Drosophila melanogaster: one gene and its partner. The protein of the gene in region 1 interacts with the protein of each later gene in a pairwise test. Each region holds a gene or a part of one and is shown on either strand. Other genes may lie near its edges. The genes, in order: CG6497 and CG14598.

Region 1 (4,178 bases):
ACGGCGGCGGTTGGCGTAGTTACAGTTTTGCCCATCGAATGGTTTTCCCCGCGCTCCTTGGTGCGGTTGTGGTTCGTTGCTTGGTTATCGCCAGTGCCACTACTCACACAGCCGAAGACCACTGCCTGCACCACTACGAGTGCAGCGGCAACTGCAGATGCACTCGGAAAAATCGGATAGAGCTTCCGTTGATTGATGCGTATTGAAGCAAAGTAGAATGTTTTTTTCGGTCTTGAGACCCTAAGTTATGGTCTTGAAAGAGACAATTTCCAATCAGCTTGTATCTACCTAAGGCAACTATGAAGTAAATAAAAATATATTCTAAATATACCTCATTTCTTTTAATAAAAAAAAATTAACATAATTAATTAATTAACAAAAATTAATGAAATATATAATAACACAATTTATAAGGCACACCAAATTTAATGTTTTCTTTTCGTGCCTTTAATTTGAGTTTTACTTATGAAATGTAGTTGAAAGAGTGCATTATGTGCCTATAATTTGTATAAAAGGTGAAAGCTATGAAAATATCTCACTGTCAAATATTAATTGTTTTAATAAGAAAGCACTCGATTTTTGCAAGTGCGAACCTAGCAGAAGCAGCAACAACTACTTGGGTGCTGTCGGTGAGCCTGTTTTTTAGTGCCTTCCGTAACCATTAAATTTTACGTTTTTATTAGCGCGCACACACACACATACACAGACACAGACACACTTACGCGGAGGAAGGAGGAGGAAGAGGCCGAGAGTTGGCAGATAGGCCGTCCCCACCCACTGAACTCTACCGCCCACTACCGCCCACTCCGCCAACCATTTTTGAATATTTCCGTTTTGGCTGGCAGTTTTCGGTTTTCGGCTTGTCTACAAAATGCAGTTTTGCATGCACTTTGGCCTCGGCGCAAAAAGTCAACCGAAAAGAGACAATAATAAGTGCAGAGCACAAAAGGACGAACCCGAAAAAAGGGAAAGAGCAGCATAAAACGTCGAAAAAGTAGAGCCAAGAACATGAAAACGGAAAATTGCATTGCGCTCAGAAGTATGCTATGCTTTTTTCGCTTGCCTTATCAACGTCTCAAATCGGTTAGGGTTGATAGGAAAAGCGGAGGGGCGCAAGCGGGTTACTGGCAAAACTTAGTCCAGATAGCGAAATGTTGTCGCCCAACAGGACCTGGACGTATTTTACGTATTTTAGTTGCCTGCAGCACACGCAAAAAAAAATGAAGAATACAATGCAACCCAAAGACTTTAAGACAGTTCGAGTTGCAGTCGTGGGCGGTTCCATGCGAGTTGTGGCCACTGAAATTGGTTGCATGTTTCAGGGGAACAGACCTTTACCACATGAGTGCTGTTCAAAACTGCTCAAACCTTTACAGACAACACCAATAAAGCTCAATCCCTTCAGGCCAAACAAGTTCGACCCAGCCTCGTCGAGCTCGCAACTTGTTTGGCATCCACAACATTTGGTTGCAGGGTGAACGGGCTAAAAAAAAACTCTTATACTTTTGAGTAAAACTCAATTTCAATCCAATTCAATAGCTCATTCAAATCAGAGCAATTTAAAGACCATAATAATACTGCAGAATTAATAGTTTCATTTTTGAATAGAAATAAAGAGATAATCAGAGAACGAGAGATATAGAGATTATAAATGTTCATATGGCCAATTCAATGCGTGAGTTTGTTTTATATTTATTAAAAAAATTACAAAATATTAAGAACTTAACCTAATCAAGTATAATCACAGACAAATGCCACATAAGAGGCTTGTTAAAATCGTCTTTCATTTTGCATTACTCCGAACTAAGTAGACTAATTGTATGGATCAACCTTTCGGAACATAAGTACCAAAATTAACCGAAACGAAAATTCAAACCCAGTCGGACTCATCCCCTACCAGCCAGGAACCATACACCGAAAAAAGAAGGAACCAAAGGACACAGGACATAATGGAGCTGTGGCAGAAGCTACGAGTGCAGTTTAATGACTTCTTCCACGCGAACTACCCGTACATAGCGCTCTACAGCGGACTGGGCGTGGCAGTAACAGCCTACTTGCACTACCAATGGAGCGTGCACCACTACGACCTCATGTACTGGAAGCGTTTGGCGGAGGTCTTCTCGCAGGACATCGACTGCATCCAGCTGGCTATACTGCTCTTGATCTTCGCGATCAACGCCATTTTCGTATTCATCATCCTGAGCGTCTATCTGCGCCCAGCCCTCGACAATGGCAGTGAGATGTCCTTGCTGGAGATCAAGGATCGCTATGCCCGGTTCATACTGCTCCGCCTGATAGCCCGTCTCGATCGCATACAGTCGAAGATCTCAGCGAAGCGTAAGAGCCTCACCTTCCAGCACTATGTGAGGGCACACACGAACATGGTAAAGGCGGTGGCCGTGTTCCGCAAGGATGCACGCAAGCTAATCCTGCCGAATGAGAGCGAGATCCTGATGCCCATCGAGGACATCTACGGGGTGGCTGATGACGAAGAACGACTGCTTCGGCGATCGGGCTACTACAAGCTGATCATCGACACCACCGACGAGACGGTCAAGTCTCTGTTCAACGCCAAGCTGGAGGAGATCCTGTTCCCAACCAGCTAGACGACTCGGCGGTTCCGATTGAAACTTTGAGTAAACTGCAGTCCAACACTAATTGCCTTTATCTACTCTGCCAGAGCCGCAGCTCCGAGGGCCCCTTCTTAAAGCCGTTTTATTGTTTCAATTGTTTGGCTTGGCAGCTTTTTATGGCCGCATTGTGCGCCGGGCCAACAATAACAGGCCAGTCGGAGACTGTCAGCCGTCCCCAACCCCCAATAACAATAATGGCAAAAGAAACAGCAGCAGAAACAGCAGCAGAAACAGAAGCAGAAGCAGTTGCAGAACCAGACCAGAACTAGAAACAAAACTCCAACGAGGAACAGAGACTAAACTAAAATGCCAGCCCATGTCTGCACAGCTCAAAACAATATCTAATGTTGTCTACGGCAAAATATTTTGCAAAGCGTCTTTTTGTTTTGCCCGATTTCTGTGTCCTTCAGGCCTTTGTGTGTCGACTTTTCTTTAAAATTAGCTAAAAGGTTGTGTAAATTTAACTGAAAGTGGGATAGCAGTGAAAGAAAAGCGTTGCAGGGGATAAAGGATTCTTGGAATGCATCGTGGGTACGAAAAGCAACAAGGGCGACTAGGAAATATAAATAAATTTTCTTATGGGATGATATCTAACTAAATTACATTTTCGGATGGCATGAAGTGGACTAGAGTCCGCAGTCATTAGTGATTTAATCTAGAAAAAGAGGGGAAGAACCTTTTAGGAGGAGCGTCAAATTAGCATCAATAAAATTGGGCAATAATAAATTAAATTCATAAATTCAAACACTCAACAAAATTATATAATTGACTTTTTTGGTTTGTGGTCGTACGTGCGGGCATGACAACAATCTGAAATAAAGATGCATAAATTGTTAATCTGTTTAACAGTATCTTAAGTAGTTGTAGTTCTTGATCTAATAGTACCCGATATCTCGTCGTTCATACGGACAGTCAAACGGACAGTCAAGCGGACATTGTCAGTGATTCTGACTTTATAGTGTTACATACTTTACAACTAATCTACAAGATCTAAATGTTCGAATTTTTATGTCAGTTAAAAAAAGCGTCGAGACCTATTAATTTGTAAACGAAATTGTTAATTATCTTTTTGATTGTAATACGTTATTGTACAGATTGTTGTCGTGCCATTCAAGTCTCGCAGTTAACCATTTAAAATTCACATCCTTTCATTTGCTTCAACTCGATTTCCGCAGCTGCTGCTGTTGCTCACAAAATACAACTCATATCCTTGCCAATGACTTCAAAGCAGCGCATGCTTCGCTGCGCGCCAAAAAGTAGACAACAAAAGCCTTGATAATGAAAAGCGGAAAAAACACGCACTTTTAACTTCACTTTTGGCAGCTAATGCGCGAATGGCCAAAAAGTGACAGCCTAATTTCGGTTAATGTGGCGTGTCCTTTGCTTTTGGCCATAAATCCGCACAGCACGTGTGTGGCAAACTGCATTACTTCATTCGCAGTGCGCACTTCTTTTTCCCCATTTTTCGTTTTTTTTTTTTTTTTGCTCTTCCTTTTTTAATGATGGCCACGGGTGGGCGGCTCACCTCCCGGCGAAAAAGACATT
Region 2 (4,901 bases), on another chromosome or scaffold:
CTGAAAGTTATCCAAATGCACACAGAACCCCAACGGTTCATTAATTATGCGAGCCGCAAATTTAACGCTTGAATTGATTTGCGCCACCTCCATTTGACTCGTTTTAGACGAACTTACTTAATTTCAGTGCGATTGGGGTAATATGTTTTATGCGGCATTCAAATCAACTTTGCGGTCCATGTTACTTCGGCTTTAAGGAATACCATTGGAAGTTTGGAGCTCGATTGCGATGGCATATCTTCCGTCCATAAACATTGTTTATGTCACGCATTGACACTCGTCGTCCTTCTCGATGGAGCAACAGAATTTTTCGATTTATATGCATATACAAAGACAATTGAATGTGCGTGGGTGCCCAAAGGACTCCGCTCCTGCAGACGTTGTTCCGCACTGGGTGCTCGAAACTTCCGTGATGGCGGACCCGCCCCTCACGTAAATATAAATAAATACATACAAATAAATAACAGAAAGGATATGGAAGCCCCGAATGGAGTGGGTCATGGAACACAATCGAGAACAATAACAATGCCGCATAAAAATGGAGTCACGCCAATCGTCTGGTTAAGTGAAAACACTTGAACAATTCAGCCGGACCCAGTTGGGGCCGAATAAATAATTCGCTTTTGATGAATTTAAGGCACGTGAATTCCCAATAAAATAGCGACTCAATAATTAATGTAAAAATGTACAGTGCTGTTAAAAATACCTCACTGATATTTTACTTAAATCGTAAGAATTCTTGCATTTCAAGTCTTACAATTGTATCTAACAAAAAGGTTAGACTTAGTTCTAATGTCTATCACTTTAAAAAATTCAAAAACAAGGTTTTTCTAAATTTTAACAATGTATCTATGTTTTGCAAAACTATTCGTTAATTTGTCACATAAAAGTTATTTATTTCGAGTAAACATTAGCAAATATATTTTATATTATATTTATTATAATAAATATGTTCACCAAAACCAAATGCAAATCAAAAGCACGTCTTCACAGCTGTTAAATCGAGTTGGGCATCTTAAAAACTGATTAGTGAATCACCTTAAGTAAAACCATTTAACTTTATATCCGAAAAATCTGATTAATTACGACTTTAATTCCTGGTGATCCAAAAAACGTTTGGCAAAGAGCACTACAATGTTTGATGAAGCGATAAACATCTTTTAAAAATGAATCCACTTAGGCCAAATACCTCTGGCAGCACAAAGTTTAAACTATTTGCTAACGCTTATCAGAAATACCACACGAATCTTAACACTGGACTGCTGGGCAATTAATCTCGTGGAACACAGCGATCCAAAACCAAACCGAACCGAACAAAACAAAACCAAAACCGAGAAATCCGGTTGCCTCTAATGCGGCTCATAATTTATGAGCCTTCGCACGCACACAAAAAGTCTCGACGTTAGGAATCAACGCTCACATAATTTGCATAAATTGGAGATGTATCAACCGAAATTGAGGTAATAAAGCCAACAGCCGACGGAGGGCCCTATCAAATTCTGGGCTTTGATGACGGAGATGCTGATCTGCTATCGGGCCACTTGTAATTGGCACTAATTTGCTTTCACTCCATTAAAGAATCCCCCCACGATTTAAATGCAAATGAGGGCGTACCACTCGGTAGCGAAATAACAGGTTTCCTCTGCGAATACTGTTCAAATCAATTAAGGAATGGAAATAAAATCAATCTTCAAGCACGGGCATACACCCCCTTGGATGAGGAAGTGACGCTAGCTTTTATCACAATTTATGCAAACCGCTGACAAAAATGCTAATAATTACATTCTCTCCCCCCAAAATCAAGTTAAGAGCTCTCAGATGTGTGACAACCAGATATACAGAACATGAGATACGATATCATGTATCTACAAGATGCGACCGTGAACCCGAAAGAGTTCACAGCTTAATCAGCTGTTTCGGCATCTTATGCTGCGCTGCTGCATTCTGCCGAATTCTAGATTGAAAAAATCCGAAGAAGAAGCCACTTAATTGGCCAAGAGCAAGCTTCGCTCTCGCGCTCGTCTGCCATCCCAAGAAAAATAAAAATAAATTAAAACCCCCGGTTTTAATCCGGTTGTTAAACTTTACACTGAGCAACAAGATCGTGTAACTTCTGGGCCGTTTCAATTTCAAAATGGATCGCTTTGACCGACTATAAATATGCTGCGCATGCTCAGCGGCGCTTTTAGTTCGTTCAAAAATTTCAAAGTGTTCGGTACGGGACACAAGTTTTCCGCCTTAAATAAACAAATAGGATTCCTAGCAAATATGTCACTGAAATACGTAAGTGGACAACTCGTGTGCATAATTGTGAATATAAAATTGTTGCTAATGTTGTTACTGTTCTAAGCTGGTCTTTCCTGAAATAGACTCTAAAAAATGCAACAAATTGTTCTAATTAGCCATCTGCGTAAGCATCATTAGCGGAATTCCAGTTTAATGCATAAATTAAATTATGAAATTGGTCCTGAAATGAAATTAACATAATTAAATAATTTTGTACCAACAAATTTAAATTTTTTTATATCACTCATTAAATTTATGATAAAAGAGATAAAAGGAGACTGACATTTTTTTAGACGCAACAGTTTATTGTCTGAGGTGTGAACTTGCAAGTCATAACTACAAGTTACCATATACTTTCTTTCTTTTCAAACTAAAAATTTGCATAGATCTCAAGCTCGATTAGTATCTTTATCGTCGCTATGTTAATCACAAGTGGAGAGGGTCTAATGACCTTTCCCACTAGGGAAAGAAAAATGTGATTTAGAATCTAAATGCGAATAGAACTGACTATAAACTAATCCAGTTTTGGCATGTGCCTAACAATGCAAGGCTTTTGCACACTCCAAGGTCAAGTCAAATCAGATTTTAATAATCTTGAAGCTCCCACACTTTTAGAGCTATACTAACAAAGTGTTTGAAATTGGAATACATTGGAATGGTTGTGACCATATTAAACAATAGAGCCATAACTTTAATACGCACCCGTAATTGGCAGACAAATACATATCATTAAGCTGACCAGTCTCTTTTCGAAAACATTGGGTTCAACTTAGCAACAAATACTTACGATAAAAACTGCACCTTTTAGCAGGGCCTTTAGGAAACTAACTTTCAAAATAAAAAATGTTTAAATAAATATCTTTATTAATTTTGTTAGCCCAACGCAGTAGTGTTCACCTATGCGCCGAATGCATATAAAGATTACTATTAGTAGTTACTAAAAACTATAATTAACTTGTTATTACCTGTACCGTTTCATTGCAGTTACTCATTGCTTGTGCAGTGCTGATCGGATTGTGTGGAGCTGATGTGTCAGAAATAAAGGCGGTTAAAGTGGATCTGCCTTTCAATGACTTGCTACCACCGCTGCTGGATGAAGTGAGCACCACGACGACAACGACGACGACAACGACAACCACAACGACGACCACAACGGAGAAGCCAGCCACAACGCTGGCCACAAAGCCAACCAAGAAATCGTACTACCAGAAGCCAGCTCAGCTGGCAAAGGAGGATAAGTTGAAGACCATTGTCATCAAGCAGGATGTTTCACAGCTCCCTTTGGATCTACTGCCACCTTTCGAAGACGAGGTCAAGCCGGCGGAGGACAAGCTGCGGCCAGTGGTTAATACTACGCCAAAACCCGTGGTTAGGATCTCTCAGCCGTCTGTGCTCAAGGTCACTCCAAAGGCTGTTCCCAAGGTCACCCCGCCGCCTGCTCCACGTCCGCAGTACTCTGTTCAACCAGCCCTAGCATCCCGCCCACAATACTCCGTTCATCCTGCTCCTCAAGCGATACACCCTCAGCCCACCCGTGCTTCTGGTTTCGGAAGTGGATTCCAGTCCCGTTTCTCAAACTACTTCCTCACCAGTACCCCTCGACCCAGACGCGGTCCCCTGCCCACTATCACCCCTTTTCCACGCTTCGTCAGACTGTAGGAATCCATTTAATTAGATTAGATAAGCACCATTCAAAGGCCGACTTAAAATATAAAATAAATTAGATACGACACAACTGAGATAATGAGTGGAAACTATGCGGTATTATTTAAAAGCGACTGTTGAAGCATGAATTCACAACAAAGTATTCGAAGATTTCAAATGTTGATGGATTAAATAATTTATGAATGCACAAAAGTGACCATTTCGAATCATAGAGGCAACGCCATCTGTTGCTACTTCGTTATGTGAGGTTATCTGTTTTAAATTAACACCTTTGTCAAGGGAAAAGTGGAAGAAGCGCAAAATTAATTCCTAAAATAATATTTATCGTAAAGGAAATTCATACACCCTTCTTAGCGACCAATGGATAGCGTTTTACCTTTTCCAGAGCTTCATCGGCATGTTTTTAATTGTAGTACATATATTTAAAATAAACTGCTAATGCAATGTAAAAAAAAAAAACCAAAACTAATTTCCGAAATATTTCTATTAACTCTCGGTCTGTATGATAAGATTTTTCTTTTTGAAGATACAATAATTAAAAGTTGCCAAAAAAAATGATGACAGTGATATATTATGCTAGTTGACTCCAATGCGCGCAATCAACCAAATTTACTTATCAAACTTCTTAAACACCTTTCCCTTCCCCAAAAGCAAACACATTCAAGTATCTACCGCAAAAGCGGAATTCGGATTCATTAACAGCATTTAATTAATTGCTTGGCGCCGTCGGAACAGAAACTGACACTGAAAGCCGCTGTCAGCTGCCAAATAGCTACAAACGGTTTAGCCCCCGGCTAGCACACAAATACATTCATATACATAACACGGCACCCGGCACACAAATCCAAGCCCAAAACCAGGCTCAAACCGAACTCAGCTCCAAATTTCAAGCGTAAACCCAAACCCATCGCTTGACATTTGCTCAACATGCTAAATGCTAATTACTTGGC

What was found.
Region 2: the proteins of CG6497 (region 1) and CG14598 interact in a two-hybrid assay, tested with the Drosophila melanogaster proteins (one large-scale study listed by BioGRID).

Annotation. Positions count from the first base shown.
Region 1 is NT_037436.4:17,251,595-17,255,772, reverse strand, and holds CG6497 (uncharacterized protein), read left to right. Parts: upstream 1-1,835; 5' UTR 1,836-1,949; coding exon 1,950-2,606; 3' UTR 2,607-3,396; downstream 3,397-4,178.
Region 2 is NT_033777.3:7,437,579-7,442,479, forward strand, and holds CG14598 (uncharacterized protein), read left to right. Parts: upstream 1-2,181; 5' UTR 2,182-2,268; coding exon 2,269-2,283; intron 2,284-3,270; coding exon 3,271-3,945; 3' UTR 3,946-4,398; downstream 4,399-4,901.